4 linked regions of the Pelodiscus sinensis genome follow. Each later gene encodes a partner of the first gene's protein in a complex. Links are inferred from orthologs where the notes say so. Each region holds a gene or a part of one and is shown on either strand. Other genes may lie near its edges. The genes, in order: STX5, STX7, STX18 and VAMP7.

Region 1 (7,432 bases):
ATACTGTAAAAGGGGTAAAAACAGAGGTGAAAGTAAGCAGGTGCACCCTGGCGTACAGCTCTGGCAAGAGCTGGCTGAGCTGTGGCACAAGCCTGAAGGGAGCTATTTAAAGAGCTGGCAGGGGCCCGAGTTGCAATAGGACTATACCTGTAAGAAATTTTAAGTTACTTTCACTTCTGAGTAAAATAAAAAAAGATTTATTTCATTAAAATCCTGTATCAGCTCCAAAGAGGAGCCAGAATAGGTTGTGTTTTCTTTTTCAGATGGCTGTGTACTTTGGAAACAGAAGCAAACCCAGAATCAAGGAAGATCAGTAAATATAAGAAACTAAGCTTAACCATTCAAAATACGTCCAATAGTTTTTTGTTTAACCATGGTATAAAGAAAATGTTATCAAGGGAGTACAAACCTACGTGGCAGTGTTTTATAAAAATAGAAAAAGAATAATTCTACTAAAGCTAATTGTATACAAGATTAAAATGCCTTAAAATAAAAATCCAAATAATGATTTAGGGCTAAATCTATTAAGAAGATATTGTATAATAATGGGTAACTTATTCATGCACTAATTTTACTGAATTTCACTGTCACTGCAATTTGGTAAAAAATGGCTACAGATCATTAAAAGGACTTTACAGACAATAATTTAAACTTTAAAATGCTTAAACCCGCCAAGATGGGACAGCAGCAAAACTGAAGGGAACTAATAAAATTGGCAAACTAAACTAAACTATTTGGGATTGGTATGTCACTTTGAAACCAAGCTCACATAGAGTGGCTGTGGGAATATGAGCAAGCATTTTAACAGAAGTTAGCAGCAGAAGGATTGCATCCACTAAATGAGGAAGTGTTTTCAACAAGTTAGTACCTAGAATATTGTATTTTCAAAATTAACAAAGCAAAGAATTTATTGACAAAAAAGCATTGAATTGTTTCATAGGCATGATGTGGTCATTTTTTGTACATGCACATGATAAAATTAATTTGCTACCAGGAAAGATCAAAAACAATAACACTAATAATATACTATAAATACATGCTATATAAAGTGAAAGCATCCTTAAATGACAGAAGAAAGAAGATTGCCCTCTTTTAGCACCACAGAAAAGTTAAAGATTTGGTACAAGGGAGGCAATTATAATAGGTGCAAGGCAAGAAAGGAACAAGATTACAATACCATAAAGTTTGTGAAAAAAGAAAGCCTTGACCAAAGTGTTACCAGTGTGAGTACTGGAAAGTACTGTGACACATATGCATGGCTACGTCTACACTGGCGGCTTCTTGCGCAAGAACAGCTGTTCTTGTGCAAAAACTTGCTGGGTGTCTACACAGTACACACGTTCTTGCGCAAGTAAATTTACAGTACAGCGTCAGAAAACAGGGCTTCTTCCGGAAGAGTTATTCTTCTCCCCACGAGGAATAAGCCCTCTTGTGCAAGAGCTCTTGCACAAGAGGGCAGTGTAGACAGGCGACATGAATTTCTTGTGCAAGAAACCCCTATGGCTAAAATGGCAGAAGACCATATGGCCATAGACTGCCATAGACGCTCTTGCGCAAAAGCACGTCTCTTGTGCCAAAGCACATGCCAGTGTAGATGCGCTCTTGTGGAAGACTTTTTGCGCAAGAACTCTTCCGCAAAACAGTTCTTGCGCAAGAAGCTGCCAGTGTAGATGTAGCCATGGTGTTGCATGGTAGTGACAAGATCTGGGTTTGCGCCTGAGGACCTTTCATGGGTGGGTGTAATGTCTTACTGTCACAGCTGCCAGCCTGTAGGTTCACTCTGAGGAAGCAGTCTCCAAACCACTCAGTATGGCTGAGACACTGGGAAGCTGGTGAAGTAAAAAGTGCCTATGTTGCTAATGGCCAGTATCGTGTGGTGACGGGAAAGGGCCATTTCTACTATGGACACAGAGGATGCTATTTGAATTGGCTTATGTTCTATTTCACACCTGAATTTCCAGTGGTGATAAATGGAAAGATTTATATATTTTATACTAGTTTTGTATAATATAATTGAAACATAGGCAAAGATAAAATTGCAGAAGCATGTTTTAAAGGCAGAGCAAGCTTATAGGCTATGTCTACACTCGCGGCTTCTTGTGCGAGTAATATGCAAATGAGGCTAAGCGTGGCATATCGCCAAGCCTCATTTGCATACCTAATGAGCCATTTTTTTCAGAAGAGGCTCTTGCGCAAGAAGGAGCGTCTACACTGCCCCTTCTTGCGCAAGAAAAACCCTCTTGCGCAATGCTGTTCTTCCTGAAAAGTAATAGGTGTAATGGCTCCTTCTTGCGGAAGAGCCTCTTCTGAAAAAAATGGTGGCTCATTAGATATGCAAATGAGGCTCGGCAATATTCCATGCTTAGCCTCATTTGCATATTACTTGCGCAAGAAGCCGCGAGTGTAGACATAGCCATAGTGTGGAATTACATCCATAGTAAAGGTGGTTATTTTAACGGTTTGGTAATTACATTATTGTGATAATTATTCTGTTAATTCTATATTGCAAAGTTTGGCAGTTGGATACCATTTTCCAAAATTGTAGAAGTATGTTTGAAATGCTTTAATGTAGTAAAACCCACATAGTATGTTGGATTTCAAAGTGGGGAATGTAGAATAAATAAAAATTAGGAAATTAAAGTTAGCTTACATTCAGCTGAAGAAAGATGTGTGTTGTAAAGAAAGGCCACAAAAGTAATTAGTTACAGGGCCAGAAGCGATGAAGTAGGGCGGATGCCTGGTTCAAAGAATAACTAATGAAATGAAAGGATATTTCTGAAGAGAAGGCCTCTGACTGGGAGGGGTGATGGCAGATAGTTTTAAATAAAACAAAGAGATTCTGTTTTAGCATGAGCCAACATAGCCCTTCCCACCGCACCAACCAATGTTGTTATAAAAATTAAGAGCCCCGTGTGAACCCAGGAGCAAACAGGTGAAACTAAGCAGATGCACCCTGGTGCATAGCTCTAGCAAGAGCTGGCTGAGCTGTAGCAAAAGCTAGCAGGGAGCTATTTAAAGAGCTGGCGGGGACCTGGGTTACAATAGGACAGTACCTGTAGACATTTTTAATTTACTTTCACGGTTGGACACAAAGGAAAAACTGTTGATAAGCAGGAAGGAGGGAAAAGAGGTTGTAAACATTGTCTGGATTAAACCAGGGAATAAAGATGACCTGTCTCCAATTGGTTTTAACTGTAGTCTGTACCTGGCTTCCAGACATCACTTGTTTGTTAAAAGGTTATCTCAAAGTTTTGTGCATTGCCAATATACTGTCTGGCCATGTTGAAGCTGACTGGTACCCCCTTGGTTTAGATCATTTGTAAGTTTCTTGATCAAATATTTATGAATGTTTTGTTTTTGTCTAGATGTGGCAAATTGCTTATTATTTAGGCCTTGTAGGTATGTTTTGAGCAATTGTATAAATATTATTTGGCTTTTGGATTTAATAAAGGAATTAATGGTTAAATCAGTGTCATGATAATATCTGTATAAATAATCCCAAGCAGAGGGATGGCTGGGCAGTCTGGTCAACATGCTGATAGTCTACACTCCTCCTTTGCAGACAGCAAGCGCAGGCCTAGGTGCAAGCAGCTGCGGATCGCGGACTCTGCCCCAGCGGTGCGTTCCTCGGACAGCCTCAAGATCCGGATCATTTGGAGACGCGTCTCCATCTTTGGCAACCGGCGTGATTCCATACGGAGCACCAAGAGCGCTACCTCAGTCACTGCGCTGCCGGAGCCCAGCGAGTCTGACCCCGAGAACAGCCCTCTGAAGGCTGGGCCCCCGCCCCACGACAGCTGCCTTGCAACTAACAGAGATGGGGAATAAACATAACTTTCACAGCTGTGTCTGGGCTGGGCCTTCTGCCCTGGACAGTACTGGGGACCAGGCCCCCATGTTGGGGGCCTATAGGGGCAGGCTTGGGGAGCAGGCCCCCATGTTGAGGGAGGCTGTAAGGGAGAAGGTCCCCACAGAAGGGGGGCTGTAGCGGCACTAGGAGAGTGGTGAAGCACTGGAATGGGTTACCTAGGGAAGTAGTGGAGTCTCCATCTCTAGAGGTGTTTAAGTCTCGGCTTGACAAAGCCCTGGCCGGGTTGATTTAGTTGGGATTGGTCCTGCCTAGAGCAGGGGGGTGGACTTGATGACCTTCTGAGGTCTCTTCCAGCTCTATGGTTTTATGATGGGGGGCAGGCCCCCATGTTGGGGGGGCTGAAGGGGCAGGGTTGCAGAGCAGGCCCCCATGTTGGGGGAGGCTGTAAGGGAGAAGGCCCCCACAGCAGGGGTAGCTGTTGCTGTAGGGTTGGGAATCACGGCAGGGGGGGCTGTAGGGGCAGGGTTGGGGGGGTAGGACCGTAGTCCCTGCGGAGTGTGTTTGAGGAGCCCAGCTCCGAATGGGCCGTTTGGGGCCTGGCCCGGGCCCGTGACCCGGCCAGGCCGCCGAGCCGAGGTCACCAGGGATCAGAAAGTTCGCGGATAATCGCGGCCCCTTTAAACTCTCGCTCCCCTGGGGAGGGGGCGGGGCACGTATGTGCGTGGCGCGTTGACGTGTTACGCGAGGTGTACGTGGCAGTGACGTAGTTCCCGGCCGGTGGGGTCTAGGTTGCAACGACCAAAGCTAGATTCGCGTCTCGGTGAGTCGCGGGGCGGAGTCGGGGTCTCGCCGGTAGGGGTGGGCCCAGCTTGGGCAGTCCCCGGACCTCTCTCCTCCCCGGGGCCCCGCGTCTCTCCCTCCCTCCCTCCCTCCCTCCGCTTTGGGCCCCCGGAGGGGCGGCGAGTCCCCCCCGCGCCCCTCCGGGCTCCTCATGTTCTCCCGCTTGGGTCGCCTGCCCCGTCTCCCCTTGCAGGGCCTGTCCCCGGCGGGTCCTTACAGCCTTTGCCCTGCGCCTCCTGCCCGCACTCCCTGCTCTGGGCCCGGGGCTTAAAGCGGGCGGGGGGCAGGTTCCCTTGGGCTCTGCCCCCCTGCCGTTATTTGCTCTTCAGTGCAAGTCAGCCCCCCCCCCCCCCCCCCGTCCGCGCGCTTCTTTCCCCGCCTCTGTTCAGTGGGCTTAGCGACTCTGAGCGCTGCGCAGAAGCGGGGTTGTGGGGCAGCTCTCACCAGAAACTCAATAGGCAGATCGTGGGCCAAGTCTGCGCCCCCAGATGTTTTTAAATAAGTCACAAAGTCTTGTTATCATTGTGGTGGTGGTGGCGGCGTGAAAAATGTTTCTCTGGAGAGTGGACCTTGACTATACCTTGATCAAGAAATTTAGACCTTCACCAAAAAAATTGGACCCTACAGGGAATGGATAGAGGGACCTAAGTGCCTTCATGGTTATTTACCCCCAGTCCTGCCTCCACTTGTGTGTATCTCTGATCCTAATTACCTGGTTCAGACACTGACTCCAACAGCCAGGATCCCTGCTTGGTGGGTAAGGAGCTTCCGGGGTATTGGAACAATTTGTACAGAGTGCATCTTGAGAGCCACTGAACCAAATTGTAAACCCTTCCTAGGATGGAAAACCACTTCAAGGCAGGGGGATGCAGCTGTACCCTTAGCAGTGCTAGTTTGTGCACCTCTGGGAGCTGCTAATGTCTGTCACCAAATAGTCTTGTTTGTCTGGACTTGGTTGAGGCTGCTCTGGTGGAGACTGGAACTCACTGAAATCTGGGACATGGTGGGATTGATTCCTCTAGGAGGCTTCTGCAGTGGGGCAGGGGGTCTCTTCCTGCTGACATGCCTGGCTCTTCCCTTGCACAGTGGGCACCACAAAGCAGACTCCTCTCTGAACTGCAGATGAATTGCAGAGGAAGCCTTTACATATATCTCTGAGCTCTGGGAGCCTTGACCCCCATTTGGATTTTGCATCAGGAGCTGCTTCTGAATGGGGCAGGCAAGAGTGCCTTGGAACTGCCTGGCCTCTTTGCTGTGGTGAGGAGAGATGAGTGGGACTGGGCAGGTGATGTGATAGTGAGTGTGCTTGAGAAGAGAGGGAGGAAGAAAGGGTTAATGGGGACTGGTGAAGGGTGGAGTTTGGTCCTTAGCTATTAACCAAGCCCCTGAACCCGTGGCCTCCCCTCCCCTAGCACCAGGTTATGAGCCTCAATGACTACGAGAAAACGCCACGGCTCTAAGAACACGCATCAGGGCGTTTATCTGGGACCTTCGCAGACACAGGAGCTGTCCCCATCTGCTACCACAACTGTTGCCTCATCCCTGCCCTTTCCGGACACCATGTCGTGCCGCGATCGCACCCAGGAGTTCCTCTCTGCCTGCAAGTCCTTGCAGAGCAGACAGGTGAGTCTTCATTTCCTGGGGGTGTCAGGCCCATTCCTTGCTAGTGTGGGGGATTCTCTGCTCCAGAACACCTCAGTTCAGTCTGTCTCTCCTTTCAGAATGGGCTGCAGCCGAACAAACCAACCCTGAATGCCATGCGCCAGAGGAGTGAATTCACTGTCATAGCCAAGTGAGTGGGGTGAGGGCTGGACTAGCCAAGATCTGGGGAGGGAGCTCAGCAGCTGGATAACCTGGGAGTATGTTGGGCTGACTCAGGATCAGTGTGCCGGGAAGGGATCTTGTGGGATGGCTATAGGCTGGTTTGCCTGGGTTGGGGCTGAGAGGGGTTTCTCCTTGGGATCAGAGCTGAGCTAAGGAGGAAGTGCTCTACTGATGATTTAGTCAGCAGGCCCCAACTGAGGAAGCACAGATCCCACCCTTACTCTGGTCTCCTGTTCTGTTTCCTCCCAGGCGCATCGGCAAAGATCTCAGCAACACTTTTGCCAAGCTGGAGAAGCTGACCATCTGTGAGTGGCCGGGGAGGGGAGGAGGGAGGGAGGGAGAGGGTGAGGGCTGTCTGGGGTATGGGCTCCTTCATGGAGGGGCTGCTGATAGCACTTGGGGTTAACATGGCTTCTTGCTTTTTTTATAGCCATTGTGAACTGGAGATTCTCACTCAGTTGGGATGGGCTTTGTGGCTGCTATGGAGCAACAAGGGAGGGTAATTGATGCTGGGCCTGAATGGGGGAGTAGTTCTGACCCTGGGGGCCATGATAAAGCAGGGCACTTGTGGTAGAGGAAAGGAATCCCTGTCAGGCCTCATAGGACACTCCCTGACCATACCCCTCTGTCCTCAGTGGCCAAACGGAAGTCCCTGTTTGATGACAAGGCAGTGGAGATAGAGGAGCTGACATATATCATTAAACAGGTTAGTGGGAGCAGGGCTAGCATCTCCTGGTGGCTGGGAGAGATGGCCTCTTTATTTGGAAGGTGGGATGGGGTGGGCAGGAACAAAAGGAGCTGGAGCCTATGAACAGCAGCCTCAGCTGGGTGGGAGCCTAAGGGCCACTGGGACCAGGTGGGGGTGTGGGCCACAACTGAGACTGGAGCAATTTCCCTCCCCCAGGACATCAACAGCCTGAACAAGCAGATTGCCCAGCTGCAGGAGTTTGTGCGGGC
Region 2 (7,975 bases), on another chromosome or scaffold:
ACCTTCTGCCCCCCTGATCCTGCATACGTCTCTCTCCCAGACCACGTCTCCCCTCCCCCCTCACCTGCCCCAGGTCACAGCCCTTCCCCTTGCCCTAAGTCACAACCCAAATCCTTACACTCCCCTCCTGCACCCTTGTCCCAGGTCACAAGCCTCTCCTAGATCCTGCACTGCCACCTCCATGTTATAATGCCCTCCTGCAACCATGCCCTCTCCCAGATCCTATGCCCCACTCACCTACCCTCATCCAACCTCCATTCCATACCCTGCACCTCCTCCCTTAATATTAGGAGTGCAGCACTTGACCACTTACCAAATTCTTAGGAACAGCCCCACATCAAAAACTGTTGCCCAGCCTTGATTTGTGATGCATTTTAGTTTGTAAGAAATATCAGAAAATAGAATTAAGATGAGTTCTTTTGGCCTCCCTGCTCCCCACCCCTTTAACCCGTTAAGCATCACATTTAAGCATTTAACCAATTAAACAGGATTTTACATCCTTACTGCTGACCAGGCCATAAAAGTCTAGTTAATGGCACAGGAGGTAAGGCAGGCTGCATACCTGTCCTGGCTCTCTGCATCTCCTGGAAGCGGCTGGCATGTCTCTGCGGCCCTTAGGAGCTATCAGGGAAGCTGTGTGCACTGCCCTCATCCTCAGTGCCAGCTCCGCAGCTCCCACTGAGCAAAAACTGCATCTAAGGAGAGCTATGGGGGCAGTACCTGTGGGCACAGGAAGCACACAGAGCTCTCTAGCTCCGCCACCTAGGAGCAGAACATGGCAGCCGCTTCTGGGAGGCACACGGAATCAGGAAAAGTAAGGAGCCTGCCTGAGTCCTGCTGTGCTGCTGCCCAGAAGTAAGGACTGCCTGGCTGGAGCTCATACCCTACTCCTTCTCCTGCACCCCAATCCTCTGCCCCAGGTTGGAACCCCCCCCCTCTAGCTCCACTCATCTGAAAAAGAGCGTTGTGCTCACAAAAGCTCATGATACTTTTTTTGGGGTTAATTTCTAAAGTGCTACAGGACCACTTGTTTAAGGGTTCTTACTTTTCAGGGTAGCATTAAGGGACTAGAGTACGCCTACCGTACTTAGAACTCCTTTCAAGGAGTTTATCAAGAGTAAAGGACGACCCGGTTACAGTTTCAGTACTTACATGGAGAAACAAGTATTTAATAATAGGATCCTCATTCAAGTAAAGAGAGCAATTTAATTCAATGGTTAGAAGTTGAAGGTGGAAACATTCAGACAGGAAATAAAGCATACATTAACACTGAGTAATTACAACTGGAACAGTTTATCAAAGGTCATCTTTAACAATCTAAAACTCAAGACTGGATGTTTTTCTAAATTTACAAGATACTGTATGTTCTAGGGATTATTTTGGGGAAATTCTATGGGGTGTGTTGATTTCTAGGTGATCACAATTGGGTCACTTCCAGCATTAGAATCTACTAATGTATTCAAGAGCCACATGTAAAAACAAACATTTTTGTTATGTTGCATGTAGCTACGTGATAGCAGACTCAGCAGACTCAGAGGGCACATTAACTTATTTACACAAACATATATACACATGCTTTAAAACAGTGAAGTAGTGGATGTGATAACGAGCACAAAAAAAGATCAAGGATTCACACTTTCAGGTTTTCATACACTAACTTTCTGCACACAGGCAGTCCAGCAACTTCCCAAAAGCTCTACAATACCTGCTTGTCAAACAGCAGCATATCAAAAACTCAGCTCTGCACTTTGCTCTATCCCACTTTGAAATGGAAGTAGACAAGGAACCCATGAGTGCCTGGCAGCACACAGTAGTCTCTTAATGCAAGACAAGCTTATGTCTCAACTTGCTGCAAACTAGGGCCCAATCTATCTACCCTACAGCAGGCCATGGATCCAAGCTGTGCAACTTCAGCTACATAAACATAACGTAGCTGACAGCGACATACCTAGATCTACTTATTGTTGTATGCTCACCACAGTAAGTTGAACTCATATCTACCCCACCTACGCTTCTCATTCTGGTGGCATACTGGAGTCAACAGGTGAGCACTCAGCATCAATTTATAGTGTAAAAAAAAAAAAAATCTACCCCTGCTGGATTGATCGTTGCCTACGCATAGTGAAGGCACCCTCTACACCCTCTACGTGTCCAGGTAGACAATCCCTAAAGAGGGATATATACAATAACAGTTTGGGGGTATCACTGCTCCAAGAAATTCTTTGCTCAGTGTCAGGAGAAAGAAATGCTGCAATTCTTTGACACTGCAACAACTGCAGGGCTGCAAAGGAAGACAGAAGGGGCGGGAGGGAGGCGTTTCCTTCCTGAGCGTTAACCCTCCCTCTGTGGGAGCACGAAGCACAAGGGCACACCCGCACATGACAAACACTGCCTCCACCCAGACTCGGCTCTCGCACAACCCTCTTGGGGTGCACGAGTCGCTCTTGGCTCTGGGGAAACAGTCCAAGGAGGTGGGAAGCAGGGCGGGCGTGTGCCCCCGACGGGCGAGGGCTACCCGCTCTCCAGCCAGCCGCGGGTGCAGCCGGGCGCAGGGACGGGCTGCAGCTCGGCGGCGATGGGCCGCGGGAATGCGGAACCGATCCCTTCCCGTGGGCAGCCGCCGCGTCTGCCCTGCCCCTCCCCTCTCGCCAGCGGGGCTGGGAGCTGTGCCGCACCCGCACGCCGCCCCCCACCACGCGGGCAGGGCGGCCCCCGCTGCTGCCCGCCCCCTTGCCGCGGGGAAGCTGGAGCCGCCCGGGAGCAGGGCGGCACCCCCCGGGGGCACCCCCGGAAAGACAAGCGAGCGCAGCGACTCCCCTGGGCGCCGCTGCACCCCCAGCGCCTCTTACCAGGCCCCAGCGGCTCCGCCTCCCAGCACAGCCGGGCTCAGGACGCCGCACGGCACCGCTCAGCTGAGCGGCGGCTCCGGCTGCAGCAGAAGAGTCCCGGGGAGAGGAGGCGGGGCTGAGCTCGCCGGCCCCGCCCCTTCGCCTGGGCCCAGTGACGCGGCAAGCAGCTGCCTTCCCGCCCCCTAGCGGGCTGAGCCCGGCGCGCCGCCGCCTGCAGCCTCCGGGCGGCCCCCTGAGCGCGCAAAGCGGGAGCCTCTCCAGTCAGGCGTCATTAAGGGAGCCCGCTGCAGGGGTGGGAGCCTAGTCGCTCCGGATCTCTTACTCCTTCAACGGCCCGAGCGTTTCTGCCTCGCGGAGCTGCTGCCGCTCAGAGCCTAGCGCTCAGCCCTGCAAGCTCAGCTCCTGGCGAATCTTCTGCAGCCAAGATGTTGGCTATGGACTGGGTCTGAGCATTCAGCGCCTCACGTATCTGGATGCCCTCAGTTATTAGCTCGCCTTCCTTGTTAAGCACGTGACCTATAGTTTCCTTCATCTTTCTCTTGCTCCCGATGTATGTCAAGCCTCTCATTGTATTGCCTTGTGTATGCCCCTTGCTACATGTAACCCCTTTTGTGCCTTACCCTGTCTGATTTTGTTTTGCCATGCTTGTACTATCCTTTCTTCCTTAACTATTCAGCCATGTTTCCCCTCTTTGTAGGATTTTTTTTTTAATTTCAGATGATTAAAGAGCTCCTAATTGAGCTAGTGCCCAGGAGGAAAGGAAGAGAAGAGCCAGCCCCCAACTATCTTAGGCCCTGAGTGCACTAGACCAGGCAGATTGGCTTAAGGTACTCCATCCAGCTACACGAAATGCTAGCTGGGATCAGCTTATCTTAAACTGAGCCACTGCAGCGTCTACACTGCAGGAGGCTGGTGGGAGCACACACTCCCACCAGCTTCCCTGACCCCGGTGGGGGCTGCCTTCAGCGTTCAATTTGGGAATCTACGCTAGACCTGCTAACTTGAACATTAAATTGACCTCCCGAGGGTCAGTCTTCTCCATAGTGTAGCAATGCTCTCCGAGACCTCAAAATCAGGTTAAAAATGCAGGCGAACAGGTAGAAGATCCAGCTCCTTTGTCTTCCTGAGGAATAATGCTCTAGATTCTAACTGGACACAGAGGAGCCTGGCCGCATTCTCACCCACAGACCCTCCACTACAGAATGGGCTTGAGCCTAAGAGAACTCAGCTTCTACACATACACATTCTTGCTCTCAATTGGTGAGCAGAGTCTCCAGTTTTGGAATCTTTTTCTACAGCTGGACTCTGTTCCCTCAGAAAGCAGGTGGATAGTCACAGTTTCAGCCATGCAGTCCTCCTCTAACATACTGTGAACCTGCAACTGCAGAGCAGGAAGTTGGGAACTGTACAGCCTCAGTCCTGGAGTCTGGTAATTAGAAGAGGAGCAGTTCACAGCTCCACCCACTTCTGTCTTTTCAATGTTTAATGATAGTTGTTTCCACCCACTATAGATGTCTTCTATTCCCAGTCATCTTTGGCTTCTAGGCAGTTCTACAACTTTATTATTGTGGATATCAAGAATCTTCTCACTGGCTTTTTAATTTTGAGAAAGTGTTCATTCGAAGTCTGAAATTGGAGTCCAATGTTCTTTGTAGAAAAACAAAACAAAACCCTTCTAATTCCAAATATATGCTTATATAAATATGGCAGAGATGCATAAAAGTTACTTAACCTGTGAGCTCTTTAGGAAACAGACTGTTTTTGTTATGTGTTTGTTTTAGCTGTGTAGCACTGTGGAGCTTTGCTTGGAGGTTTTAGCTGCTACCATAATACAATAACAGTGAAAAGTTAAAACAACTTAGAAGAAAAAGAAAAACCCAGACAAAAACTATTTGCTAACGTTTTGATATCAATACTCGTTCCACATAACTTTTCCATCTGGTTGATTATTACAGACATGGTGCCCTCTCTTCAGTTAATTTAAATAAATTGGCTGTGTCTAGACTGGCAAGTTTTTCCTCAAAATCATCTGCTTTTGCAGAAAAACTTGCCAGCTGTCTACACTGTCCGCTTGAATTTCCGGAAAAGCACTGACGATCTCATGTAAAATCATCAGTGCTTTTCCAGAAAAACTATGCTGCTCCCGTTCAGGCAAAAGTCTTTTTCCGAAAGACTTTTGCGCAAAAGGGCCAATGTAGACAGCATAGTACTCTTTTCCGCAAAAAAGCCCCGATCGTGAAAAAGGCGATCGGGGCTTTTTTGCGGAAAACCGCGTCTAGTTTGGCCACAGACGCTTTTCCGCAAAAAGTGCTTTTGCAGAAAAGCATCCTGCCAATCTAGACGCGCTTTTCCAAAAATGCTGTTAACGGAAAACTTTTCCGTTAAAAGCATTTTCGGAAATTCATGCCAGTGTAGACGTAGCCATTGATAGTATTTAGTTATAGCTACTAAAGCAGCAGTGAGCAACCTAAGGGACTCATGTGGCCCATTGTGGTTCTGTGAGTGGCCCATGAGACGTTTTGTTTACTGTTGCTCATGCACAGGATTGCCGGATTACACTGCTTTTCATCTGCTGAGTGTTTTTTTCTACCAATATTTAAAAAGTGACACATACTTAAAGCAAGTGCATGTGAAGTGAAGTATGTGCTGATTGCACACAACATTGTGAGACCTGTGTGCTTTCTGTATCCAATCAAAGTGTTGTTACAGTTCAAACAGCACACCTTGCAAATGCTAGGTAGGTAAGCACAGTTAGCAAAACTACCCTATCCTGGGAGACCGTCTTAGTTACAATATTCTTGCAGCCCACTGAGGTGAAGGAGGGCCACTTGTGCAGTCCACTCACTACCCGAGGTTGCCCCTCATTGTGTTAAAGCATGCTAGAGAGGTGGAACAAAGTAGATTGGTAGGATTTAGGTGAGTTCTTCATGCTCTAGCTATTTGGAATTCTGTTGTGCAAGCAAAGGTGCTGTGACTTTTATACATAAAAAGTAATAAAAATGGCACTCCTGGACATTTATGCTATCATATGCTACATACATTCTGTATGCATGCTCATTTTGGGTTTAATATTTCATTCTGATTGGCAATTATTTTAATACTGTTTGTATTACTTTATTTTCCTTACAGTTGTAGTATATTTTGGATAACCCAGTATTTACCACTAGATGGCAAAATAGTGACGTTACACTACTCTCCTCTGCTAGCTGAAGATCGTGAGCTTGAATATGATCTCTCATTGGTTTTACACCAATATGACTTCAGTGCTTTCAGTACAGTCATTCTAGATTTACATGGACTCAGATGAGATCATAATACATTTCTTCTGTCAAAGCAATATACAAATATATATATATATATATATATATATATATATATATATATATATATATATATATATGAGCATTTTGTTTTGGATTTGTATTTCTGATAAAAAATGTCTTGTTCAGAGCAGACACTTTGTAACTTAGGGAGCAGTTCACTTTGATTTGCAACATATGGATACCTCTGTCTGCATTTCATGTCTTCTGATAGAAATGTATGACACTTATGAAATAAGGCAGAAGTTCCCAAACAGTGTTGTGCAGGATTTTGATGGCCCCTGGAGATTTTCTTGGTATGCACTGTTACTGTATTCTCCTCCTTGCCTCCAGCAGCTTTTCTATGTTACAAGACAGATACAAATACATTAAATATTTACCTAATATTATTCTTCCAAGTAAGCAATAGTTGTGGCCACAAGGATGTTACAGAATGGAAGGAGAGGCAGATCACAAAACAGATCCAGTTGGCCCAAGAAAAGGGAAAAGGAAATGCTTCTGATCAGTATTTTCTGACAGATTATCTCAGCTATTTATTTCTATAGCTTCCATCTTCAAAGTATTTGAGTGTTAAATTCAGGGTTAAATAAACATTTGATTAGGGAGCATCTGCTCTGCTTCTTGTGGGTCAAAATCAGGTTCATGTGCCCATACAGGCAGTCCCTGGGTTACGTACAAGATAGGGACTGTAGGTTTGTTCTTAAATTGAATCTGTATGTAAGTTGGAACTGGCGTCCAAATTCAGCCACTGCTGAAACTGACCAGCGGCTGACTACAGGAAGCCAGAGGCAGAGCTGCTCTGCCCCGGGCTTCCTGGAATCAGCCGCTGATCAGTTTCAACAGCGGCTGAATCTGGACACCAGTTCCGACTTACATACAGATTCAACTTAAGAACCCCAGGCGTCCCCAAGTCAGCTGCTGCTGAAACTGATCAGCGGCTGATTCCAAGAAGCCTGGGGCAGAGCAACTCTGCCTCGGGCTTCCTGTAGTCAGCGCTGGTCAGTTTCAGCAGTGGCTGACTTGGGGACGCCTGGGGCAGAGCATCTGGGGTGCTGCTGGGTTGCTCCAAGCTGTTCTGCCCCAGGCGTCCTGATTCAGCCGCTGCTGAAACTGACCAGCAGCGGCTGAATCAGGACGCCTGGGGCAGAGCAGCTGGGGTGCTGCCGGGTTGGTCCAGTAGCGCCGAGAGCGGCGCTGCGGGACCAACCGGCAGTGCCCCAACTGCTCTACCACAGGCATCCCGAGAAAAGCCTGGTCTGCTGGGGGGGGGGGGGGAGGGGGCGCACTAGCTGCACTCCCCCGCCCCAGCAGACCAGGGAGACACGGAGGACCGGAGCGGCGGGACCATGGCGCATCTCGGTCCCGCCGCCCGCGTCTCCCTGGTCTGCTGGGCTCCCCCCAGCAGACCAGGGAGACGCGGAGCAGCTTTTCTCACCCCGGAGGACGTGGGTGGCGGGACCGCAGTGCGTCTGGGCGGTCCTGCCGCCCGCGTCCTCCAGGGCAAGATAAGCCCCGTTCGTAAGTGCGGATCCGACGTAAGTTGGATCCGCGTAACCTGGGGACTGCCTGTATTTGGAAGAGGAAAACTAAAGGGAGCAAGGCAAACAACCAAGGTGGGGCTCATTTTCAGAGGCACTGCCCCCCAAATTTCTTACTGAAGTCAGTGGGAGGTGTGGGTACTCAGCATCTTTGAAATTCATGCTCCTGACCATTCCGTATTTCTCTTCCTCATGGGAAAGGCAACACAAACAGGTGTGTTTTTTACAGCATCCTAAAAGAATGAGTATTCTAGACAGTGCACAGTGT
Region 3 (7,430 bases), on another chromosome or scaffold:
AGGCATCCACTACCAGTCAACCCCATTGTACTTGTTTGGCAGACAGGATATCTGACACAAAATACAGGACTATGTAGCACTTTAAAGACTAACAAGATGGTTTATTAGATGATGAGCTTTTGTGGGACAGACCCACTTCCTCAGATCAAATAGTGGGTCTGGCCCACGAAAGCTCATCATCTAATAAACCATCTTGTTAGTCTTTAAAGTGCTACATAGACCTGTATTTTGTTTCAGCTACACCAGACTAACACGGCTACATTTCTATCAGGATATCTGACAGTTCCACTTGCCTAGAATGCACTCATGCTATTGCCCAGAAGCCTGGAATATGAAGTTTTCTTGTGCTTATGACTACAGGTTTAAGTGATTCAAGATGAGAGATTTCCTGAGACAAGCTTCCAGTTCTGATAAAGTCAAATTGCCACTGTAACTTTATTAATTATTTTAAATTAACATAATAGTCTTTAAATCAGATTTTAATTTAAATAATGTTACCACCTATGCTAGATTGCAAAGTCTCAGTGCATAAATAACTGAATAAAAAGGATCATTACTACTTCTAATTAGAATATTTATTTCAGAGGCTCTCTCATGTTAAATATTGGTTAACTGAATATAGGGCATCCGCACTGTACATCCAAGATACATTTAAAAAAAAGTAGACGTATAGCAAAGGGATGTAAAGCGAGGAATTTTCTTCCTGTGACTAACATCCGTTTCCGTCATTAAAAAAAAAGACCAATTAGTGCAGAACAGAGAATGGGAGGACTTAAAACGGAACAGTTCCCACAAGCATCAATGACGCCAGCTCAGAAGCAACATATACTGGGGCAACTTATAGCAAGGATGCCCTGTAGTCGAGTAACCTCATGAATTCTTATCAGTTAGTCAACTATTCTACAGTCCCTGGGGGCAGGCCTGGCAGCCACTGTATCAGAGGTAGCAGCAAAGGGTGCCAGGCAGACACTGGTCCGCAAGGGAAGTCAGTTTAAAAACAAGCTTCACTCGCAGACCAGCTGCCTGTTGCTCCGTGCTGCTGCCTCTGATAAAGAAGCAGCAGCGCAGGGTGGCAGCAGCCCCTGTCTAGTGGGGGTCTAAGCTCCCAAACCTGGCATGAGCCAGAACTGAACTGGGTTGCCTGCCTGGCTGGCTTCTAATACACATTAAATGCAGAGCCGCAGTAGGGGTATGTCCTGGACCCATCACAAGCCAGGACTCAGAAATTTACTGGCAGGAAGAGAGAAAGAGGGAAATGCATGTCTTCTATAGCATTAACCTATAACCTTTTGCTTATCAGTTAATTAATCAACTACACTATTACATCCCTAGCTCCCACCTCTAAATTCATTCTTCTGCAAATAACCAATATTGTCAAAAGTAAAATATCCCCATGACATTATGCCAAAAAGTGCAATTCTGCTGACACCCTCCAGAAAAAGTGTCAATATTTCTTAATATATTCTCTAATACACATATTTTTGTTTCCAATAGCTGCAGGCTATATATTTTTGTTTATATCTATCAGGTTACTTTAGCTCTAGTGTATAGAGGTACAACTCCACTGGCTTCATAATTTGAATCATGATTTAATTTAGCCTACTGTTTTAAAAACTGCAACTCCAGCAATAAAAATATCTCTGGTAGTTGATTTTAAAAAGTGGCAATTCATTAAAGCTGTTCAATGGGTTGGAATGATAGCCTAAAATCTGGAGAGAGATTAATGAACAGAAGACAGGTAAAGCTCTCAAGAGTTCATTGTAAATACAATTTATGACATGGTTAGGACACTGTATTAGTACAGCATGTAATATTTATCTGCACACAGAACATACACATACATCTTCAACAGTTATATGGCCCCAATTCTAAAAACCTAATTGTGCACATAGTATATTTAACTGTAGTCACAAGAATAGATCTAGTAACTACTATGTCACTATTCTTCTGAGTAAATTTACGTTCAAGCATAAATGTTTGCAGGAGCAGGGGCTACAAAAAAGGAGGAATTCTGGTACTCGCATGCAACAGAATTAACCCTAATAATGAATACAGCATAGAGGCTATATAATATCACCAGAGACTGCTACGTGTCATTATAAGCAATATACATGCCTTACCTCTGCCAAGTCACTTGGGGGAGGGCTTAGTTTTAAAGGGATATGTCAACCTGAAAGCTGATCAGTTTTTTTTTTAAGCGTCAGGACAAGAGTAGTTTTAGGTTCTCCTGCGTCCCCCACCAATTGCTGAGTTTGAAAACCATACTGCTGGCTATTATTTTGTTTTTGTGTTCTTTCTCTCCTGTTCCTGGGTAAAAGTCCCCCACGAACAACCGAGAGTAAACGAACGACTACCGGGCAGTTGTTTGTGGGAGGTTTTTTTTTTTTTGCCCAGCACGTTGGTTTTAATGGGAACTTTTAAAAGCCCCCCCCCCCCCCCCCCCGCAGCCCGACCAGCCACGCAGAGCCACCGCCTGGTCACTGCGGATGCACGGGGGCTGTAAAGGGGAAAGACCGACACGCAGGGGAGGGGGCTGCCAAGTGCACGAAGGAAAAGACTACGGGGCGGAGGGGGGGGGGGATAAGAGACTCTCCTCCCCCCTCCCCCCATCGCTTTGCATGGCACCGAGCTGCGGGGCACCTGTAGCTGAGATGGGGCTCGCTGTGCAGACGGGCAGTTGCTCTATTACCTCCACGCCACCCCCTCCCCCGCACTCACCACCTCGCGGGCCCGGCAGGAGAAGTCGCTCTTGGGCCGCTGGCTGCCCCGTTTGAGCAGCTCATCCCGGCCGCTCTCGCCGACCGGGACCCCCAGCGCCTTGTTCCGGGTCTTCACCGTCTTCACGCTGGCTTTGAACAGCAGCGTGATGTCCGCGGCCATAGCGACCCCGCTGCCGCCTCGCACGCCGGCCCCGCGTGGGTCACCCGCACAGTCCTCCCCGCACAACTCCGGCCGCCGTGCAGGGTTCCGCCGCCTTATCCGCCCCGGCGCCGCCCCGAGCCGCCAGGGAGCGCAGAGCCGCTGGGGTGGCACAAAGTGCAACTGGCACGTTCCCAGGCCCCCGCCCCGCGGAAACCCCGCTGCAGTGCCCCAGTGTGGGCGTGAGGGGAGCCCCCAGTGCCCAGTGTGGGTGTGGGGGGAACCCCCAGGGAGCGCCTGCAGTGCCCAGTGTGGGTGTGGGGGGAACCCCCAGGGAGCGCCTGCAGTGCCCAGTGTGGGTGTGGGGGGAACCCCCAGTGCCCAGTGTGGGTGTGGAGGGAACCCCCAGGGAGAGCCCCCAGTGCCCAGTGTGGGTGTGGGGGGAACCCCCAGGGAGAGCCCCAGTGCCCAGTGTGGGTGTGGAGGGAACCCCCAAGGAGAGCCCCCAGTGCCCAGTGTGGGTGTGGAGGGAACCCCCAGGGAGAGCCCCCAGTGCCCAGTGTGGGTGTGGGGGGAACCCCCAGGGAGAGCCCCAGTGCCCAGTGTGGGTGTGGAGGGAACCCCCAAGGAGAGCCCCCAGTGCCCAGTGTGGGTGTGGAGGGAACCCCCAAGGAGAGCCCCCAGTGCCCAGTGTGGGGAGAACCCCCAGGGAGAGCCCCAGTGCCCAGTGTGGGGGGAACCCCCAGGGAGAGCCCCCAGTGCCCAGTGTGGGTGTGGGGGGAACCCCCAGGGAGAGCCTGCAGTGCCCAGTGTGGGTGTGGGAGGAACCCCCAAGGAGAGCCCCCAGTGCCCAGTGTGGGTGTGGGAGGAACCCCCAAGGAGAGCCCGCAGTGCCCAGTGTGGGTGTGGGAGGAACCCCCAAGGAGAGCCCCCAGTGCCCAGTGTGGGTGTGGGGGGAACCCCCAAGGAGAGCCCCCAGTGCCCAGTGTGGGTGTGGGGGGAACCCCCAGGGAGAGCCCCAGTGCCCAGTGTGGGTGTGGAGGGAACCCCCAAGGAGAGCCCCCAGTGCCCAGTGTGGGGGGAACCCCCAGGGAGAGCCCCAGTGCCCAGTGTGGGGAGAACCCCCAGGGAGAGCCCCAGTGCCCAGTGTGGGGGGAACCCCCAGGGAGAGCCCCCAGTGCCCAGTGTGGGTGTGGAGGGAACCCCCAGGGAGAGCCTGCAGTGCCCAGTGTGGGTGTGGGAGGAACCCCCAAGGAGAGCCCCCAGTGCCCAGTGTGGGTGTGGAGGGAACCCCCAGGGAGAGCCCGCAGTGCCCAGTGTGGGTGTGGGAGGAACCCCCAAGGAGAGCCCCCAGTGCCCAGTGTGGGTGTGGGGGGAACCCCCAGGGAGAGCCCCCAGTGCCCAGTGTGGGTGTGGGGGGAACCCCCAGGGAGAGCCCCCAGTGCCCAGTGTGGGTGTGGGAGGAACCCCCAAGGAGAGCCCCCAGTGCCCAGTGTGGGTGTGGGGGGAACCCCCAAGGAGAGCCCCCAGTGCCCAGTGTGGGTGTGGGGGGAACCCCCAGGGAGAGCCTGCAGTGCCCCAGTGTGGGTGTGGGGGGAACCCCCAGGGAGAGGCCCCAGTGCCCAGTGTGGGTGTGAGAGGAATCCCCAAGGAGAGCCTGCAGTGCCCAGTGTCGGTGTGGGGGGAGCCCCCAGGGAGAGCCTGCAGTGCCCCAGTGTGGGTGTGGGGGGAACCCCCAAGGAGAGCCTGCAGTGCCCAGTGTGGGTGTGGGGGGAACCCCCAGGGAGAGGCCCCAGTGCCCAGTGTGGGTGTGAGAGGAATCCCCAAGCAGAGCCTGCAGTGCCCAGTGTCGGTGTGGGGGGACCCCCCAGGGAGAGCCTGCAGTGCCCAGTGTCGGTGTGGGGGGACCCCCCAGGGAGAGCCTGCAGTGCCCAGTGTGGGTGGGTGTGCGGGGGGGGGGGGCAGCGAGCCTGCAAGGTTACCTTACTGCACTGCCCTGGTGGTGGGGGGAGAGGGGAGCCCCTCTTTGCCTCAGTGTGCAGGGGGTGAGCCTCCAGGAAATCTTTCACTGCTGCAGGGGAAGGGGTATGAGTCTCCCCTCCAACCCCAGTGAGATCCTCTGTTCCAGTACCCGTGGGGTTATCACTCTCCATGCCACAGGCAGACTGTCTCACTGGGGGAAGAGAGTGACCTTTCATTCTACAATGAGGCCCCTATACAGTTGTGGTGGGGAGGAGTGAGCCCTACTGAAACTAAAATCAACAGGGCTCCCTGAAGGAGTTCTATCAAAACTGGGGTTTGAGGACTAATTTTTCTTCAGTTGAATCGTAAAATAAAAATTGGTAGGGTTCCTGCATTTACTAAAAGAGATCTTAATCTGTCTTTGAATCTTTGCACTCTAATTCCTTTTACTTCCATGAAAGATATATATTTCACCAAAAGCATAGTTTGGACTTATGCTTAGCATTCTGTTTTTGTTTCTTACAGTAAACGCTTAACCATTACAAGCCAAACTTAATAAAGCGTGGGTCACGCATATGAATTTTGCCAGTATTGTAATACTGGCCAATCCCTCCTAATGCAGATGCAGTTACATAGTCACAAAAATGTTTTGGCCAGGATCTCTTTTTTTCTGGTTCAATGACTGAAACAATCTATATTTGGCAAAAACAAAAGCTGGTATAACTGCATCTACACTAGGGCTTTTGCCAGGATAACAATGTTGTAAAAAAAAAAAATTAACGGTAAAACTTTTAACTGTAGACCTGGCCTTAGGTGGGTATTTTCATGCAGTGTGTTCTTATAAACAATATTATGGCAGGTGTCACCAGGTGGTGCTATTACAGTGTGTTATTGTTGTCCAAGTTCTTTTTCTTAGGCTATGTCTAATGCTACAGTGGACAGCTGCAGTGCACTACTATAGAAATTAACTGCAGTGCTTCTGTGTAGTCCAGAGTCACCAACAGCAGCATGGGGGGCTGTAGCCCACAATTAAAAGGGCCCACGGCTCTAGACTGCCACTGCCACTGACAATAGCATCTGGAGCCTATACAGCATGATCCAGGTGGTGCTGAGGGCTGGGTGGGGAAGGCTACTCCCCCCCGGAAAACTCTGCCAATTCTGTCCAAGGCCTCGCCCTTTACTAGGGGCCCAGAGTTGAGCTCCCCTCCCACTTTGCTGAGGTCCCAGTGAAGTCTGTCGCTTGCTCTGGTGTAGACACTATCTACACTGTCTGCAAGATAATCCACATTCCCAAGAGTTGGTAACTAGAGTGAACAGAAGAATTTCTTCATTAAACTAGCACTATCTACAGTGGGGGTTAGGTCACCAAAGCTACTTCTCTTCCATGTGTGAAAAATCCTGAGGCCTTGTCTACACCTACCAGCACCTTCAATCTACTTCAACTATGCAAATAGCATAGCTGAAGTTGACATTCTCCCTGTGGTGTCTTGCATTCAGTAAGGTTGGAGACTGCTCTCCCATCGATGCCAGCTACTCTTCTCGTCTTAGTAGACTACTAGCATCAAAGGGAGTGCACTCGGAGATCACTTAGTGTAGACAAGCCCTGAGAAAAGTAGCATATGCTGTATGCTGAAAAGTAGCTATTCCCAGTTTGGATTGGCCCCTGCATTTTTCAACCATGTGGAGACATGTTGATTAGTTGATTGAAGTAGGTTTTTCCTCTGGAACTGGGCACTGGTGTTAGGCTTACATTCCTGAAAGAAGAGTTGCATGCAATCTCTTGACCACCTCTGTTCCATGACTAATGTATAAGTGTAAATAAAACAAGTTACTATGTCAATGCTTTCTCTTCCACTGGGAAGCTGAGCTGTGAGGCCCTGGACAGCTGTTACCATTCAGCAGAGGGGCAATGGTAGTATTGGAACAGGACACTGGTGATGGAAGAGGGGGCAATAGTAAATTGCACTTTGAATTGTCTAGCAATGACACTAGCAACTCCATGGAAGGGCTGGAGACAATTTTAAGAAATAACATGTTGTTTTTAATATTATTGAGGAAAATTCATTCTCCCCAGATTGAGCACAAGCAGTTTGCCTTTGTGCAAGAGGATGTTGCAGGCATAGAGGGGAATGCAGTCTCACTCAGCAGACTATGATGGTGCTTTAGTCTCAGCCCACCACTAACTTCTGTAAGTTGCCTTCATGGGGAAGGGAAAAAACGTATGTGTAAATTGCTGGTGGATCTACATATATTGTAACTTACAACTCTTCTCCGACAGTTCCCCATCCTGCTTTTGGCCCATAAACTCCCATGGTAGTCCTCAGAGAGTAGAACCTCTGCAGAGGCCTCAAAATCCTGCCACTTGCCACAGAAGAACTGAAATTAATACAGGCTGAACCTCTCTAGTCTGGCACTCTCTGGTCTGGCAACATATGTGGTTTGGCATGATTTAAGTTAGCTGGATGTCCATTTATCATCTTTGTGGCCACGTTTCCCATGGTCCCATAAAGTTTTACTACAGCCACCAGTCTTGGCTCTCAGTAGTGTATGCTGTTATTTAGCTCTAAATATCTTTTAAGAGCCCAGTAATCAGTGGAATTGTAGGTAAT
Region 4 (6,864 bases), on another chromosome or scaffold:
CACGTGGCCACCAGCCTGAACCCCCCGGCGCGTCCCGCATCCAGCCGGGCAGCCCCGGCCCGGCCGCGACACTCACCAGCTCCAGCGCCGGCTTCCCCTGCGCCTCCTCGGCCATGGCTGCCTGGCGGGGGCCGGGCTCTGCTGGGGATTCTGGGACGGGTAGTCCTAGCCCGGCCGGCGGGCTTCGGGCATCCCCGCGCTGCCCGCTGGGAATCTCCGCTCCTGGGCATCTCGTGAGGCGGGTTTCCCGCGGGACAGCTCGTGCCCCGATAAACACGCGGGTCTCTACGGCAGCGCAGGGCTGCTCCTTGCGGTCTCGGTTTGTTCTAGTTCGTCATGCCCCAGCGCCAAGGGGTGTGTAATTGCCCGCCAATGTCAGCTTCCAGTGCCTCGCCCTCTCTTGAAGAGACGCTTGCAAATATGACCTGAGTGCAGCCAAAAGGTTCAAAATGTGTTAAAAGTAATGAATCAAGACCCCTCCCCCTAAAATCTTGAGATTGGCTGAAAAATCATGAAATTTCAAAATAATAAAGTTGGATTTCTTTTTGTTTGCTTTCTGGGGCTGGTACGTGTATGGGTCACAATTTAGAGCTCTTCTCTGCACCCAAAAGAGCCAAAAATTTACCTTTTTTTAACAAATGAAAGCTGAAATGTTCAGGAAAGAATCTGATTCCATAACCTGAGGTGCTAACATAGCCACCAAATATTGTGCCACTCACAGGAAAATTGCAAGGAGTGGTGATATTGAAAACCAGAAAAAAAGAGCTCCAAATGTGCTATTATAAATCTTCAAACCAAACCAAAAAAAGTGATTTTGTGAATTGAGTTTTTTAAATCAGTCTCATAATTTGGAGGGGCCTGGCTCAAGTTTGAACTCTTGGGGTTGGTAACACTGCTGCTGTCCCATGTTAATTCCACTCAGAGGCATTCATAGGAGCTAGCCAAGGTTTAGTATGACACTGGCTACTGGTGAGAGGTGCAGTGAGAGCAGGATTAGGAAATGAAGAGATGTAAAAATTACAGAGTAATTTACGTTTAAAGGACAGTACCTCACCAAGCTATGTTCTTGGCACCTAACTATGCATTTTCATCACTAGGGTATGTCTACACCAGCCACCCTAGTTCAAACTAGAGTGGCTAATGTAGTCATTTGTACTTGCAAATGAAGCCCGGGATTTAAATATCCCAGCTTTCATCTGCATGTTCCCGGGCGCCACCATTTTTAAATGCCCGGTAGTTGGTGTCATTGGTCCAACACAGTTCTCCATGTACCTTGTCATGATCCTGATTCTCATCCATGACTACCTTCCTGATGGCACCAGGATTGAGTATCATATGGATGGTCAACTCCTCAATCTCCAATATCTCCAAACACAATCTAAGATTAAAAGAAATGGCATCACTAATCAGTATGCAGGTGACTGTCATTCTTGCACACGCAGAAGCCAATCTGCAAAGCACTCTACATCTTTTTGCAGTTATCTATCACACCCTGGGTCTGTCTCTCTACATTGGGAAAACAAAGGTATCCCATCAGCCCTCCCCTGCACAAACTACTCTTCATACTCCACAAATCACCGTCAGCGGAGAACCTCTGGAAAATGTGGATCGTTTTCTGTACCTTGGCAGCCACCTCTTCCAAACAGCTGGTACTGACACAGAAATTGAATACAGGTTCTGCTGTGTCAGCACATCTTTTGGAAGACTACGCAAATTTAAATTAAATATGGGTAGGGGTTGGTTATCTACAAACAGGTAAGATCTTGGTTTACAAAGCAGTTTGTAGGAAACCTTGGTATTCTACAAACATCCCACATGACTGGAATGGTTCCAGCAGTGCTGCCTCAGGAACATTCTCAGATTCTGCTGAGAAGCCAAATGCACTAATGTCAGTGTTCTCTAGCCAACATCAGCAGCATAGAAACACGGGTCATGATATACTGGCCACTCTGAATACGCCTATCACTCACCTCCTCAAACCATAGTAATAGAGATGTAGCCGTATTAGTCTGGTCTTGCTGAAACAAAAGACAGGACTATGCAGCACTTGAAAGACTAACAGAATGGTTTATTAGGTGATGAGCTTTTGTGGGCCCACGAAAGCTCATCTCCTAATAAACCATCTTGTTAGTCTTTAAAGTGCTGCCTAGTCCTGTCTTTTGCTCCTGAAACAAGTATCCTTCTCTCAATTAAATTGAGGAAGAAGGGCTTATAGAGGGAAGCAGAAGCATTTCAAAGATATATTGAAAGTACATGTTAAAAAGGGATGCATTAACCCAACAAATTGAAATGACTCGGTGTGAAACACAGAACACCATGCACCAAGCCAAAGCTTGCTTTGGGAAGAACAGATGTACTCTTGAGAGAAAAGTGACAAAGGAAGAAAGAAAGGCCATGACAGCGCAGCCAACAGCTGTGTCTTCTCCACAGTTACACCTGTCACTTCTCCAAGGTTATACCAGGGAATGCTGCAGGCAGACATCATCCTTGCACAGAGGGCTAGTCAGAGAAAAAGATGAGCTGAGCATGACTGGTGCTGAAATATGGGGCAGATTCAGAAGAGGCGAACAGTGTCCTACTACACCTCTGGCAGACAGCATTGTGTGAGATGCTACAGTACCAGGGCTGCCCACCTCAAAACAAGAGGCTGTGAATCTCCATCACACTGTGCAGGCCTGTTCTCAGGGGCGAGGTAGAGCAGAAGGTCTGACAGACATTTGGGGAACATGCTGCTGCTTGCTGGCCAGTGCAGCGCAGGGAGCTGGAAGTGATGGGAGTCTGCATTGAACTCAGTTGTGACTGTGACTTTCAGTCTGGATTGAACTCAGCTGTGACTGTGACTTTCAGTCTGGATTGAACTCAGCTGTGACTGTGACTTTCAGTCTGCATTGAACTCAGTTGTGACTGTGACTTTCAGTCCGGATTGAACTCAGTTGTGACTGTGACTTTCAGTCTGCATTGAACTCAGTTGTGACTGTGACTTTCAGTCCGGATTGAACTCAGTTGTGACTGTGACTTTCAGTCTGCATTGAACTCAGTTGTGACTGTGACTTTCAGTCTGCATTGAACTCAGTTGTGACTGTGACTTTCAGTCCGGATTGAACTCAGTTGTGACTGTGACTTTCAGTCTGCATTGAACTCAGTTGTGACTGTGACTTTCAGTCTGGATTGAACTCAGCTGTGACTGTGACTTTCAGTCTGCATTGAACTCAGTTGTGACTGTGACTTTCAGTCCGGATTGAACTCAGTTGTGACTGTGACTTTCAGTCTGCATTGAACTCAGTTGTGACTGTGACTTTCAGTCCGGATTGAACTCAGTTGTGACTGTGACTTTCAGTCTGGATTGAACTCAGTTGTGACTGGGACTTTCAGTCCGGATTGAACTCAGTTGTGACTGTGACTTTCAGTCTGGATTGAACTCAGTTGTGACTGTGACTCAGTCTGGATTGAACTCAGTTGTGACTGTGACTTTCAGTCTGGATTGAACTCAGTTGTGACTGTGACTTTCAGTCTGGATTGAACTCAGTTGTGACTGTGACTCAGTCTGGATTGAACTCAGTTGTGACTGTGACTTTCAGTCTGGATTGAACTCAGTTGTGACTGTGACTTTCAGTCTGGATGCCCTGTGGCGCGTTATGGCCACAGGACAGTGACTTCGAATTGGAGTCTGGCTGCGATTGGCGGCTGCGGGTGAGTCTCCCCAGAAGGCGCGTGACAGCTCAACAGCTGGAGCAGCCATGCTCTCCGAGCTCGCCTCAGAACTACACTACCCAGCATGCAGAGCGGCAGGGGGGGGGGGCTTCCCAACGTACAGCGCGGCTCGGGCGAAGTGGCTCCGCCCCGCGCAAGTGACTACATTTCCCGTGAGGCTCGGCGGCCACGGGCGCGTCCTCGGCGGAAGTGCACGTGCTCGCGGAGCGGAGGCCGGGGCCAGCGATAGGAGGAGGCAGGTGAAGAGCGCGCGGGGCTGGAGACTCCCCCTGCCCGAGAGCGAGGCCGCGGCGCAGGTGAGAGGGGGCGGGGCGGGGTGGGGCGGGGGCAGGGTTGGTATGGGGGGGGTAGGAGGAAGCTGGACGAGGGGGGGCAGGGTTGGTATGGGGGGGTAGGAGGAAGCTGGACGAGGGGGGGCAGGGTTGGTATGGGGGGGTAGGAGGAAGCTGGATGAGGGGGGGCGGGGTTGGTATGGGGGGGTAGGAGGAAGCTGGATGAGGGGGGGCAGGGTTGGTATGGGGGGGCAGGAGGAAGCTGGATGAGGGGGGGCGGGGTTGGTATGGGGGGGTAGGAGGAAGCTGGATGAGGGGGGGCAGGGTTGGTATGGGGGGGTAGGAGGAAGCTGGATGAGGGGGGGCAGGGTTGGTATGGGGGGGTAGGAGGAAGCTGGATGAGGGGGGGCGGGGTTGGTATGGGGGGGTAGGAGGAAGCTGGATGAGGGGGGGCAGGGTTGGTATGGGGGGGTAGGAGGAAGCTGGATGAGGGGGGGCGGGGTTGGTATGGGGGGTAGGAGGAAGCTGGATGAGGGGGGGCAGGGGTGGTATGGGGGGGGTAGGAGGAAGCTGGACGAGGGGGGGCAGGGTTGGTATGGGGGGGTAGGAGGAAGCTGGATGAGGGGGGGCAGGGTTGGTATGGGGGGGTAGGAGGAAGCTGGACGAGGGGGGGCAGGGTTGGTATGGGGGGGTAGGAGGAAGCTGGACGAGGGGGGGCAGGGTTGGTATGGGGGGGTAGGAGGAAGCTGGATGAGGGGGGGCAGGGTTGGTATGGGGGGGTAGGAGGAAGCTGGATGAGGGGGGGCGGGGTTGGTATGGGGGGGGTAGGAGGAAGCTGGATGAGGGGGGGCAGGGTTGGTATGGGGGGGTAGGAGGAAGCTGGATGAGGTGGGGCAGGGTTGGTATGGGGGGGTAGGAGGAAGCTGGACGAGGGGGGGGCAGGGTTGGTATGGGGGGTAGGAGGAAGCTGGATGAGGGGGGGCAGGGTTGGTATGGGGGGGTAGGAGGAAGCTGGACGAGGGGGGGCGGGGTTGGTATGGGGGGGTAGGAGGAAGCTGGACGAGGGGGGGCGGGGTTGGTATGGGGGGGTAGGAGGAAGCTGGACGAGGGGGGGCAGGGTTGGTATGGGGGGGCAGGAGGAAGCTGGATGAGGGGGGCGGGGTTGGTATGGGGGGGTAGGAGGAAGCTGGACGAGGGGGGGCAGGGTTGGTATGGGGGGTAGGAGGAAGCTGGACGAGGGGGGGCAGGGTTGGTATGGGGGGGTAGGAGGAAGCTGGACGAGGGGGGGCAGGGTTGGTATGGGGGGGTAGGAGGAAGCTGGACGAGGGGGGGCAGGGTTGGTATGGGGGGGTAGGAGGAAGCTGGATGAGGGGGGGCAGGGGTGGTATGGGGGGGGGTAGGAGGAAGCTGGATGAGGTGGGGCAGGGTTGGTATGGGGGGGTAGGAGGAAGCTGAATGAGGTGGGGCAGGGTTGGTATGGGGGGGCAGGAGGAAGCTGGACGAGGGGGGGCAGGGGTGGTATGGGGGGGCAGGAGGAAGCTGGATGAGGGGGGCGGGGTTGGTATGGGGGGGTAGGAGGAAGCTGGACGAGGGGGGGCAGGGTTGGTATGGGGGGTAGGAGGAAGCTGGACGAGGGGGGGCAGGGTTGGTATGGGGGGGTAGGAGGAAGCTGGACGAGGGGGGGCAGGGTTGGTATGGGGGGTAGGAGGAAGCTGGATGAGGGGGGCGGGGTTGGTATGGGGGGGTAGGAGGAAGCTGGACGAGGGGGGGCAGGGTTGGTATGGGGGGTAGGAGGAAGCTGGACGAGGGGGGGCAGGGTTGGTATGGGGGGGTAGGAGGAAGCTGGACGAGGGGGGGCAGGGTTGGTATGGGGGGGTAGGAGGAAGCTGGACGAGGGGGGGCAGGGTTGGTATGGGGGGGTAGGAGGAAGCTGGACGAGGGGGGGCAGGGTTGGTATGGGGGGTAGGAGGAAGCTGGACGAGGGGGGGCAGGGTTGGTATGGGGGGGTAGGAGGAAGCTGGACGAGGGGGGGCAGGGTTGGTATGGGGGGGTAGGAGGAAGCTGGACGAGGGGGGGCAGGGTTGGTATGGGGGGGTAGGAGGAAGCTGGACGAGGGGGGGCAGGGTTGGTATGGGGGGGTAGGAGGAAGCTGGACGAGGGGGGGCAGGGTTGGTATGGGGGGGTAGGAGGAAGCTGGACGAGGGGGGGCAGGGTTGGTATGGGGGGGTAGGAGGAAGCTGGACGAGGTGGGGCAGGGTTGGTATGGGGGGGTAGGAGGAAGCTGGACGAGGGGGGGCAGGGTTGGTATGGGGGGGTAGGAGGAAGCTGGATGAGGTGGGGCAGGGTTGGTATGGGGGGGTAGGAGGAAGCTGGACGAGGTGGGGCAGGGTTGGTATGGGGGGGTAGGAGGAAGCTGGACGAGGGGGGGCGGGGTTGGTATGGGGGGGTAGGAGGAAGCTGGACGAGGTGGGGCGGGGTTGGTATGGGGGGGTAGGAGGAAGCTGGACGAGGTGGGGCGGGGTTGGTATGGGGGGGTAGGAGGAAGCTGGACGAGGGGGGGCAGGGTTGGTATGGGGGGGTAGGAGGAAGCTGGACGAGGGGGGGCAGGGTTGGTATGGGGGGTAGGAGGAAGCTGGATGAGGGCCGGGGGCAGGGGTGTTACTGGGGGTAGGAGGAAGCTGGATGAGGGGGGGCAGGGGTGGTATGGGGGGGCTAGGAGGAAGCTGGACGAGGGGGGGCAGGGGTGGTATGGGGGGGTAGGAGGAAGCTGGATGAGGGGGGGCAGGGTTGGTATGGGGGGTAGGAGGAAGCTGGACGAGGGGGGGCAGGGTTGGTATGGGGGGTAGGAGGAAGCTGGATGAGGGCCGGGGATAGGGGTGGT

The links.
Region 2: STX5 (region 1) and STX7 share a complex: the UniProt entries of both Homo sapiens proteins name them as parts of the SNARE complex. The link is inferred for Pelodiscus sinensis from reciprocal best matches to the Homo sapiens genes STX5 and STX7.
Region 3: STX5 (region 1) and STX18 share a complex: the UniProt entries of both Homo sapiens proteins name them as parts of the SNARE complex. The link is inferred for Pelodiscus sinensis from reciprocal best matches to the Homo sapiens genes STX5 and STX18.
Region 4: STX5 (region 1) and VAMP7 share a complex: the UniProt entries of both Homo sapiens proteins name them as parts of the SNARE complex. The link is inferred for Pelodiscus sinensis from reciprocal best matches to the Homo sapiens genes STX5 and VAMP7.

What each region holds. Positions count from the first base shown.
Region 1 is NC_134721.1:36,452,217-36,459,648, reverse strand, and holds the start of STX5 (syntaxin-5), read left to right. Parts: upstream 1-4,419; 5' UTR 4,420-4,631; intron 4,632-5,052; exon of another isoform or gene 5,053-5,408; intron 5,409-5,447; exon of another isoform or gene 5,448-5,908; intron 5,909-6,063; 5' UTR 6,064-6,082; coding exon 6,083-6,274; intron 6,275-6,372; coding exon 6,373-6,443; intron 6,444-6,724; coding exon 6,725-6,780; intron 6,781-7,110; coding exon 7,111-7,181; intron 7,182-7,379; coding exon 7,380-7,432. UniProt on the Homo sapiens protein: Mediates endoplasmic reticulum to Golgi transport.
Region 2 is NC_134713.1:94,319,167-94,327,141, forward strand, and holds the start of STX7 (syntaxin-7), read right to left. Parts: upstream 3,007-7,975; 5' UTR 2,850-3,006; intron 1-2,849. UniProt on the Homo sapiens protein: May be involved in protein trafficking from the plasma membrane to the early endosome (EE) as well as in homotypic fusion of endocytic organelles. Mediates the endocytic trafficking from early endosomes to late endosomes and lysosomes.
Region 3 is NC_134715.1:110,695,908-110,703,337, forward strand, and holds the start of STX18 (syntaxin-18), read right to left. Parts: upstream 3,008-7,430; 5' UTR 2,881-3,007; coding exon 2,719-2,880; intron 1-2,718. UniProt on the Homo sapiens protein: Syntaxin that may be involved in targeting and fusion of Golgi-derived retrograde transport vesicles with the ER.
Region 4 is NC_134723.1:279,401-286,264, reverse strand, and holds the start of VAMP7 (vesicle-associated membrane protein 7), read left to right. Parts: upstream 1-3,848; 5' UTR 3,849-4,007; intron 4,008-6,864. Other genes in the region: DNA-directed RNA polymerases I and III subunit RPAC2-like, read right to left, coding at 77-115. UniProt on the Homo sapiens protein: Involved in the targeting and/or fusion of transport vesicles to their target membrane during transport of proteins from the early endosome to the lysosome. Required for heterotypic fusion of late endosomes with lysosomes and homotypic lysosomal fusion.